Saccharomyces cerevisiae S288C: one gene and its partners. Changing the gene in region 2 together with the main gene of any one other region gives a genetic interaction. Each region holds a gene or a part of one and is shown on either strand. Other genes may lie near its edges. The genes, in order: MET10, PAD1 and YPR127W.

Evidence for each region.
Region 1: mutations in PAD1 (region 2) and MET10 together harm fitness more than expected from each alone (negative genetic interaction), as found in Saccharomyces cerevisiae (one large-scale study listed by BioGRID).
Region 3: mutations in PAD1 (region 2) and YPR127W together harm fitness more than expected from each alone (negative genetic interaction), as found in Saccharomyces cerevisiae (one large-scale study listed by BioGRID).

Annotation. Positions count from the first base shown.
Region 1 is NC_001138.5:211,312-215,152, forward strand, and holds the start of MET10 (sulfite reductase subunit alpha), read left to right. Parts: upstream 1-2,000; coding exon 2,001-3,841. Other genes in the region: PTR3 (Ptr3p), read left to right, coding at 1-1,662. UniProt on the Saccharomyces cerevisiae protein: This enzyme catalyzes the 6-electron reduction of sulfite to sulfide. This is one of several activities required for the biosynthesis of L-cysteine from sulfate.
Region 2 is NC_001136.10:1,508,902-1,512,130, forward strand, and holds PAD1 (phenylacrylic acid decarboxylase PAD1), read left to right. Parts: upstream 1-2,000; coding exon 2,001-2,729; downstream 2,730-3,229. Other genes in the region: glucose-inactivated glycerol proton symporter STL1, read left to right, coding at 1-813; putative phenylacrylic acid decarboxylase FDC1, read left to right, coding at 3,193-3,229. UniProt on the Saccharomyces cerevisiae protein: Flavin prenyltransferase that catalyzes the synthesis of the prenylated FMN cofactor (prenyl-FMN) for the ferulic acid decarboxylase FDC1/ubiD.
Region 3 is NC_001148.4:788,195-791,677, reverse strand, and holds YPR127W (pyridoxine 4-dehydrogenase), read right to left. Parts: upstream 1,596-3,483; coding exon 558-1,595; downstream 1-557. Other genes in the region: ANT1 (Ant1p), read left to right, coding at 1-460; YLH47 (Ylh47p), read right to left, coding at 2,353-3,483. UniProt on the Saccharomyces cerevisiae protein: Catalyzes the reduction of pyridoxal (PL) with NADPH and oxidation of pyridoxine (PN) with NADP(+).

The DNA of each region.
Region 1 (3,841 bases), on a different chromosome or scaffold from region 2:
AAGACTTCACCATCATCATCATCACTATCGCTAACGCCATCGCGCTCTTCCTCCACTGCTGGGCTAGAAGCTGATAACAAGACACTATCAGACCCTACAGTTAAGGAGAAATCATCACTGCTCGAACTCTTCCATATTGTGGCTTCGAAGATGCATAATGCGAATACAGAGGTAGGGTCGGACCACCCACTCACGACTGGCACCACCCGTGATCAAGAAGAACACACCACTAAGGAGAATTACTCAAGCAGCTTACTCGAGCCCAACTATGACGACCACGCGAACTGGAAAATCCTGGATAATGCCTCGAACACAAGAACTGTGCCGATAGATAACAACTTCTCTTTGATGTCTACGGACGTTACAATACCTTCCACAGCAAACTACCAAACAAATAGTGCACATGATCTGGACGAAGAAAAGGAGTACTTTTTTGCCAACTGTTTCCCCATGTACAGAAAAAAATTTCAGTTCAACACACACCCCAAATTCCTAGGGACGAAATCCAAATTATTCATCAACCAAAGCATTTCTCCCGATTGCACCAAATTTGCTCTAATTACTGAACACAAGTGGGAAATTTATTCGATTAATCCGAAGGACAACTCTCCTCAACTAGTATCATGTGGCAAGTCTAGTGGAGAATATGGTCCCAACTTCAACCAACTAACAGAGCAATCGTCATCTTCACTCTCCACTACTTCTCAAGCGTCAAAAAAGAAAAAGAAAAACTGGAGCCAACGTTTTTGCAAACTTTCCAATGATTTCTTGATAATATCGGGTTCGCAAAACATTCTTAATGTACACGACATACACCAAAACGGCAAACTCATCTATACCTACGTGTCGAGATTCCCCATCCGATGCATAGACATAGATCCAAGGTCGCAGATAATAGCCTACGGAATCACCGGAAAGGATAGACATACAGGCGCGGAACAAGCATTAGTCGTGATCCAACAAATTACCAGAAATAAAGTGACTTTGGAGCCCGAGTTCCCCCCACCAATCACCATAACACTTCCATACAGAGATCCCATCAATACCATACAACTTTCGCACGACGCCAAGTATCTGACATGTTCGACCGCGCTAGAGTCGCGGTTCTTGATCATATCTTTGCAGAAAATAAACGAACCAAGACTGATAATGAAAAGTGTTCGGTCCATAGACACTTCCTTAGAATCTGAAGGTATCACTGACACAAAACTTTTCCCAGGAAATCCAAATCTGATGTGTATCACATCAACAGCATTCAATTCATCTCCACTGGTCATAAACACCAAAATCACCCAAATTAACGGTGTACGGACCGTGGCACAACCATCCATGCTTATAAGGGTAGATGAGATTGGATGCAAGATTCACAAGTGCGAAATATCACCAAGAAACGACGCAATTGCCTTCCTCGACCGCAACGGATCAGTTTACATCATGTGTGCCCCCACCATGATGGACAACAACGAAAAAAGAAGGACAATCCTCGTTGAAACCGTGGCAAATGCCTACAGGGCTTATGAATCAGCTACTTTGCGGTTTAACCCAGAGGGCAACAAGCTTTATATTCTCGACAGAAAGGGGACTTTCTTTGTGGAAGACTTTGCATATGGCTTGCCCCAATCTCGCGAAATCACCAAATGTAAGCAAATATTCCACAAATAATGCATCTAAATATATACGTATGTTTAAGGTTCTGGTATACAGGTATTAAAAGAAAACACTATCAACATTCCCAATAAGATATACCACACCACGTGAGCTTATAGAAGCACGTGACCACAATTCACCCCACAGGTGTGGCTTTTTTGGTGCCGTAGAAAAGACTCATTCATGAATCGTCGGAAACCCATAGTCATCTTCGAGCAAAAGGTATATATAAGCAACAGAGGGCAGTAGTTCTCGAGACCACCATCTTTTGATTGGAAATAGTTTCGTTTAGATGGGGTGCACATAGTTTTTTTCAACTGCTTTTCCTCGAGGTCACCCAAATATACAACGAGATGCCAGTTGAGTTTGCTACCAATCCTTTTGGCGAGGCCAAAAATGCAACTTCACTGCCAAAATATGGTACACCCGTAACTGCCATTTCATCTGTGCTGTTCAATAACGTGGACTCCATTTTTGCTTACAAGTCCTTTTCTCAACCCGATTTGCTACACCAAGATCTAAAAAAATGGTCTGAAAAGCGTGGTAACGAATCACGTGGGAAGCCATTTTTCCAAGAGCTGGATATCAGATCTGGCGCTGGTTTGGCTCCTTTAGGGTTTTCTCATGGATTGAAGAACACTACAGCAATTGTTGCTCCAGGGTTTTCGCTGCCATACTTCATTAACTCTTTGAAAACCGTCTCTCATGATGGTAAGTTTCTTTTGAATGTTGGTGCTTTAAACTACGACAATGCTACCGGCTCTGTCACCAACGATTATGTAACCGCATTGGATGCTGCTTCCAAGCTGAAGTATGGTGTCGTGACTCCGATTTCCGCTAACGAGGTACAAAGTGTCGCCTTACTGGCATTGGCGATTGCCACTTTCAGTAATAACTCCGGAGCTATCAATTTATTTGACGGATTAAACTACTCGAAAACCGTCTTGCCGTTGGTCGAATCTGTTCCTGAGGCATCTATTTTGGCAAAACTATCCAAAGTTATTGCACCAGATGCTGCCTTTGATGATGTCTTGGATAAGTTTAATGAATTGACTGGATTGAGACTACATAATTTCCAATACTTTGGTGCTCAGGATGCTGAAACTGTGTTTATCACTTATGGGTCTTTAGAATCCGAATTGTTCAACTCTGCGATTAGTGGTAATAATTCCAAAATCGGGTTAATCAACGTCAGAGTGCCATTACCTTTTAACGTTGCTAAGTTTGTCACTCACGTTCCATCCACTACCAAACAAATTGTTGTTATAGGCCAAACTTTGGATGGTTCTTCGCCTTCTTTCTTGAGATCTCAAGTTTCAGCCGCCTTATTTTACCACGGCCGCACCTCAATTAGCGTTTCTGAGTACATCTATCAACCAGATTTCATTTGGTCCCCAAAAGCTGTCAAATCAATTGTATCGTCATTCATCCCTGAATTCACTTACAATGCCGATTCATCTTTCGGCGAAGGATTCATTTATTGGGCCTCTGATAAGAGTATCAATATTGATGTTGCCTCCAAACTTGTGAAAGCTCTGTCTTTGGAAGATGGGAAATTTGTGTCTTTGAGAACGAAATTTGATAACTTGGCTAATGCTGGTACCTTCCAAGCTCAATTTGTGACCTCGAAAGAACAGATACCTGTTTCAAACATCGATTCTACGAAATTATCAGTCGTTGAAGATGTCAGTTTATTGAAGCATTTAGACGTAGCTGCTACCGTCGCAGAACAAGGTTCAATTGCGTTGGTTTCCCAAAAGGCAGTTAAAGATTTGGATTTAAATTCTGTAGAAAGTTACGTCAAGAATTTGGGAATTCCTGAATCATTCCTAATATCTATTGCGAAGAAAAACATCAAATTGTTTATCATCGATGGTGAGACCACTAACGACGAGTCCAAATTGTCCTTGTTTATCCAAGCCGTTTTCTGGAAATTGGCCTTCGGTCTAGATGTCGCAGAATGTACCAACCGTATCTGGAAAAGCATTGATTCAGGTGCAGACATTTCAGCAGCCTCGATTTCTGAATTTCTCACTGGTGCATTCAAAAACTTCCTCAGTGAGGTTCCGCTAGCGCTGTACACTAAATTTTCTGAAATAAACATTGAAAAGAAAGAGGATGAGGAAGAGCCTGCAGCTTTACCAATTTTCGTTAATGAAACATCTTTCCTCCCAAATAACAGTACCATTGAAGA
Region 2 (3,229 bases):
TTTTTCCAGCAATTTACTGGTTGTAACGCTGCCATATACTACTCTACTGTATTATTCAACAAAACAATTAAATTAGACTATAGATTATCAATGATCATAGGTGGGGTCTTCGCAACAATCTACGCCTTATCTACTATTGGTTCATTTTTTCTAATTGAAAAGCTAGGTAGACGTAAGCTGTTTTTATTAGGTGCCACAGGTCAAGCAGTTTCATTCACAATTACATTTGCATGCTTGGTCAAAGAAAATAAAGAAAACGCAAGAGGTGCTGCCGTCGGCTTATTTTTGTTCATTACATTCTTTGGTTTGTCTTTGCTATCATTACCATGGATATACCCACCAGAAATTGCATCAATGAAAGTTCGTGCATCAACAAACGCTTTCTCCACATGTACTAATTGGTTGTGTAACTTTGCGGTTGTCATGTTCACCCCAATATTTATTGGACAGTCCGGTTGGGGTTGCTACTTATTTTTTGCTGTTATGAATTATTTATACATTCCAGTTATCTTCTTTTTCTACCCTGAAACCGCCGGAAGAAGTTTGGAGGAAATCGACATCATCTTTGCTAAAGCATACGAGGATGGCACTCAACCATGGAGAGTTGCTAACCATTTGCCCAAGTTATCCCTACAAGAAGTCGAAGATCATGCCAATGCATTGGGCTCTTATGACGACGAAATGGAAAAAGAGGACTTTGGTGAAGATAGAGTAGAAGACACCTATAACCAAATTAACGGCGATAATTCGTCTAGTTCTTCAAACATCAAAAATGAAGATACAGTGAACGATAAAGCAAATTTTGAGGGTTGATTCACACACAACTCACAAATCATATTTTGTAATTTACTTAAGAAAGCATTTTGCGGGGTTTATATTTGTTCCTTGCCGCACCAATAATATTCATATATTACTACATAACTTTAGTATTTTAACACCAGACGATCTGTCTTTTGAGGAAATATGTCCACTTTCATTTTCTTCCGCTTGCCGGCAATGCCTATAAAAAGCTTATAAAATAGCCCGACTCCGTAGTCTTAATATTTATTTAAGTACAATAATAGTCCCACAAAAATTTTTAAAACATCTTTATTGATAACGTGGACGTGTTATTACATTGGAGCGAATGATGACGGAAGTAGGAAAATCTGAATACTAAGGTGAAGATATTTTAGCAGGGTGCCGCCATGGATGTTCTATGAATGTCTTCCTTCCTTTTCTCTCATGGGACACCGCAAAAACCTGTTCTACCATCATTTAACTGCAACATACAAAAAGCCACCAACTTTCGAACACTGCAAATGGTGCTATTCTCTTTTTGCGGTCTTGCCATGATATTCTTCTTGCAAAAAGGGTTTTAGAGCAAGATTTCAAATTAGCCATGAATATCATGCATCGCTTAGAGCAGTAAGATTTTACCAGAGCTTTACAGGACCTATTTTTCATACGTTATGCACTTCATTCTTCTTGTCGGTTTGATAACAGCAGAATCTAGTTCCTTTAATTTGAACGTTAGCCCGGCAGAAGCCATACCTCGAAAACGCAGCAGCGCTTCATAGGCATATCAAAAACAGGGCAAGGGACACCATACATCACCTAGTGCTGTTACTTATAACCAACTTGACAACGATTGCACAAGAAAAGAGTATATCTGTGAAGACAGCCAAAACGCTTAACATGTTATGACATAAATTGCAGACAAGAAATTGGATGTATTTTACAGACTTTGCATTCCTGTCTGAAAGCCTTTTTACATAAAAATGGTTTCATTAGTAGCACTTCGTATCGTTTTCAAATAATGATGAGATGCTCCAAAAGGAAAGTTGGCACAGAAAAAATGACGCGCCTTTCCTGTTTACCGTTAAACTTCTCAGAAAAAGTATACTCGACCCATTTTTAAGATTGGTGATGGATAGAATTTCATTTAACATAATGCTGCAAATATAGATTGATTTCAATCTACGGAGTCCAACGCATTGAGCAGCTTCAATTGAGTAGATATGCTCCTATTTCCAAGAAGAACTAATATAGCCTTTTTCAAAACAACAGGCATTTTTGCTAATTTTCCTTTGCTAGGTAGAACCATTACAACTTCACCATCTTTCCTTACACATAAACTGTCAAAGGAAGTAACCAGGGCATCAACTTCGCCTCCAAGACCAAAGAGAATTGTTGTCGCAATTACTGGTGCGACTGGTGTTGCACTGGGAATCAGACTTCTACAAGTGCTAAAAGAGTTGAGCGTAGAAACCCATTTGGTGATTTCAAAATGGGGTGCAGCAACAATGAAATATGAAACAGATTGGGAACCGCATGACGTGGCGGCCTTGGCAACCAAGACATACTCTGTTCGTGATGTTTCTGCATGCATTTCGTCCGGATCTTTCCAGCATGATGGTATGATTGTTGTGCCCTGTTCCATGAAATCACTAGCTGCTATTAGAATCGGTTTTACAGAGGATTTAATTACAAGAGCTGCCGATGTTTCGATTAAAGAGAATCGTAAGTTACTACTGGTTACTCGGGAAACCCCTTTATCTTCCATCCATCTTGAAAACATGTTGTCTTTATGCAGGGCAGGTGTTATAATTTTTCCTCCGGTACCTGCGTTTTATACAAGACCCAAGAGCCTTCATGACCTATTAGAACAAAGTGTTGGCAGGATCCTAGACTGCTTTGGCATCCACGCTGACACTTTTCCTCGTTGGGAAGGAATAAAAAGCAAGTAACACTTTTTCTGAGCATTTTATTACGTTACTCAACTACTAATAGAGTTGATTTGTTACTTGCTAAAATCTTTTTATATTTCTTTTAGCCCCGACAGAACTTGTTGCAAATGAATACAAACCGTGAACTTCCCGATATCATTCTAATTGAACCCAGATATTTACACATGTACTTCTTACTCATTTTCAATGTCAGCTTAAATATCGTCTAAAACAATATTTTACTAGATACGCAGTTCAATCTTCGCGCATATTTTCACGAAAGTCCAAATTGCGTACGTAGTTTTATGTCAAAGTGACCGCCGTTGTAGCGTACTTTTTCCTATAAGACAAGCTCGTGATATCAGGAATATATCAGGAATGTAAACGAATACCGCATATCTTTTTGATTTTTTTCCTCTGAGTTATTCTATTCTTGACATTATTACATCACCAATTCAAAAGAATTGTCAATTTATATATTTAAATGAGGAAGCTAAATCCAGCTTTAGAATTTAGAGACT
Region 3 (3,483 bases), on a different chromosome or scaffold from region 2:
GGACATAACTGCTTTTTGGAAAGGTTTAAGAACAGGTTTAGCATTGACGATAAATCCTTCCATCACATATGCCTCTTTTCAAAGACTTAAAGAAGTTTTTTTCCATGACCATTCCAACGATGCTGGCAGTTTGTCAGCAGTGCAAAATTTCATTTTGGGTGTCCTTTCCAAGATGATTTCGACTCTAGTTACGCAACCCTTGATTGTCGCTAAAGCAATGCTTCAAAGCGCTGGCTCTAAATTCACTACTTTCCAAGAAGCGCTACTATACTTGTACAAAAATGAAGGGTTAAAATCTCTTTGGAAGGGAGTTCTTCCTCAATTGACAAAGGGTGTCATTGTGCAAGGTCTGTTGTTTGCTTTCAGAGGAGAATTGACAAAATCTTTAAAGAGGCTAATATTCTTGTACTCTTCTTTTTTCCTAAAGCACAACGGACAACGCAAGCTGGCTTCCACTTGAGAATCCTTACTATTACTGAAATAAGCACATTGCGTTTAGAATCTTTACATATCAAATTTAAAATTTATATAAACAATGGAGATTCACTTTTTTAACCTTACGCCATTTCGTATCTGTCACCAACAGTATGGAAAGTAGTCAAATATTTGTTAATGGCATTGAACTCTTGATCGGTAAGTTTGGTTTTCTGTTCATCAAAGTTTTCATTAACCTTGGAAATAGAAGAGCCACTTGGAATTGGGATAAATTTGGCGCCACTGTATTCCGGAACTTTGTTCCAGTGCTTAACCCATCCCAAAGCCAGTTGTGCAAGAGTAATGGAGTTGTTTTGTGGGCGCTTGTCGACTATTTCTTCCTGTAGAAACCTGACCAAGGTCAGGTTTTTTTTCAAAGACTCGTCGCTAAATCTCTTTAACGACTTTCTAAAGTCACCCTCAGGGATATCAGCGTTTGACTTCAATTGACCTGTCAACAATCCTCTGCCCAGTGGGGAGTAGCAGATGATGGACAACCCCAATTCAGCACATGTTTTAGCAATTCCGTTGTGTAAAATGTCATTACTGAACAAAGAAAGTTCCACTTCAACGCAGGTCAAAAACTTTCCCCAATCCTTGTGAATAGCTCTAATTTGCTCTTCATTAACTTCACTTAATGAAATACCGCCAATAACGCCTTCGGAGATCATCTCAGCAAGCGCTTCGAACGATTCGTAGGGGTAGACCTCTCCTTTCGTGCATAGGGAAGTGTCGATTCTTGCGACTTCGAAGATGTCGATGTAGCCACCAATAGCACTAACTGAATTCTTTACGCTTTGTACAACATCATCGTGACTGCCTCTGGGGGTTAAGGTAGCATTGTCTGCACCACCTTTACAACTGATAACCACATCCTTTCTCAAATCTGGGTATTTCGCAAAGAAGTCGTGAACATACGACAAATTAATAAAATCGGGACCATAGAATTCACCAACGTTGAAAAAGGCCTTGTGCCCACGTTCTCTGGATAACTCAACCACTCTGTGCATGGCCTCGAAAGCCTGCGACTGAGGGATAGGCTCGGCTCTCCAAGTCAAACTCATTAAACCATAGCCAGTATCTAACTTGTGGATGTTGTTTTTCAAATCGGCGACAGACATTTTATTTTTACTTTTTTTGGTGTATATTTTAGTTAATATGTACCTGTTTTTCTATTCTACATAACATAGAAAATGGCAAGGAAAATAATTTTAAGAGAGAGTCCTGAGATGAAGTAAAAAATTTGGTAAATTGACAACCCCTTATATAATAAATGCCTATTCTACGGTTCAATAGACACTCTATTCTTTGAGTAATTTTGAGGGAGAGCAGCAATGATTAACTTAGTACCGTTCTACCAAGTACGCCCTTGATTACCTCATTAACGAACAAAAACGCAGATCCCTTCCTAAGGCGGCCGAGACGGCCGCTTCATCCGTCTCGGCCGGGTGTCATTCTTCTAATATATTTGGTAAAGGACTTGGGAGATGCGCAAAAGGGAGATAGTTGCGCTTTTTTTTTGTCTAACAACTAACGGGTAAAAATGTGGACAGCACGAGGAGTAGTTTAAGAAATAACTTTAAAAAAAAATATTGGCAAAGCAGATATGCAAGAAGTTACGGGTAAGGCTTCTAGTAGTCGTGCATGTGTTGATCCCCTACGTTGATACTATCTATGTGTGCAAACACCAGCTTTACAAACAAAAATTTCATATAGTAGTGTATTTTATTTATCTTATGTACAAAATCTATAGTAGAGTTCACTACATTTTCTTTTCATTGCTAAAAAAGCAGTTTCGTGCAAGTATGTATAAAAAGAATGTTGGCGAGAGTAGCGGAGAGTGTATCGTGCGGTTTAATGGGCCAGGTGAAAACTGGGTTACTTCTCTTTGATGGCAGCGGCTTCTCCGATAGGCTTGGTGTCATGCGGTTTTACGTCTGGAGCAGCCGCATCTATGTTCTTGTCTTGGTCGTCCAAGCTCAACTCATCCTTGACGCTCACAATGGCGTTCTCTTCTTGCTGCTCTTCTTCCTTCATAATTTCTTCTTGCTCCCTCAATTGTTTCAATTTTTGCTTAGCGGATGCCTCATCTTCCTTAACGACGTTTACTTTAACCTCATGGTATAGTTCATCAGGGATACCGATTAAAACGTCACATAATGCGTCGTACAATGACTCCTTTGATTGCACATTACCGTAGTTATAGGCAGTAGCCATGATTAACAGCGTGGATGGGATCTTATCCTTGAGCCTCATGTTCAGCCACAATCTTAGATTCGAATATAACACGCTAGGCTCTACGTCTACACTTCTAATACCTCTGGAGGCGCATGCTGTTTTCAATTCAGAGAGGGAGAGTTGTTCTGCATCCTCGTAATATATAGATAGATCATCTTTTTTCAATTCAAGCATTTTGTATCTGATACGGTAACGTAGCATCACATCAGTGCCGAATGGTTGCAAATTCATATACTTCGCTAATGCAATCAAGTAAGGTCTTGTCACATTATCCAATACAGTATCATCAGTGAATAATCTAGCTACTTCGATTAGCTGTTGACGAGACTCCGGCACTCCTGTAGCACGGACATGTGTGTAGAACCTGTTAAACAAAGCTTTTTGTTCCTCGGAAATATTATTAGGTTTAAAATGGGACTTGTTATTCTTTATGATTTCAGACATTAACTTCCTTGTGTTTCTTAAATTTTCTAGTTTATTCTCGCGTTTTTTACTTGATTCATAAGTAGAAGGAAGTAAATTGGGGAATAACTTTAATGCAAATGGAAGAAGAAGTTCAGCAAAGGGTATAATGAGGAAAGCAGCAAATGGAACCAACCGAACGATATCTTGAGTAGTTCTTTTCAGTTGTAAATTTTCTCTTCTCGTCAATGGGTAGCCTGCAGCACTCTTCATGAGCAATTTGGAAGAAATTTTTATCTCCAACCCCAAAAGTTTGGAACCATCCCAATAATGACGAAGGGCTTTTTGCATCTTAACCTTAAAGGGTAC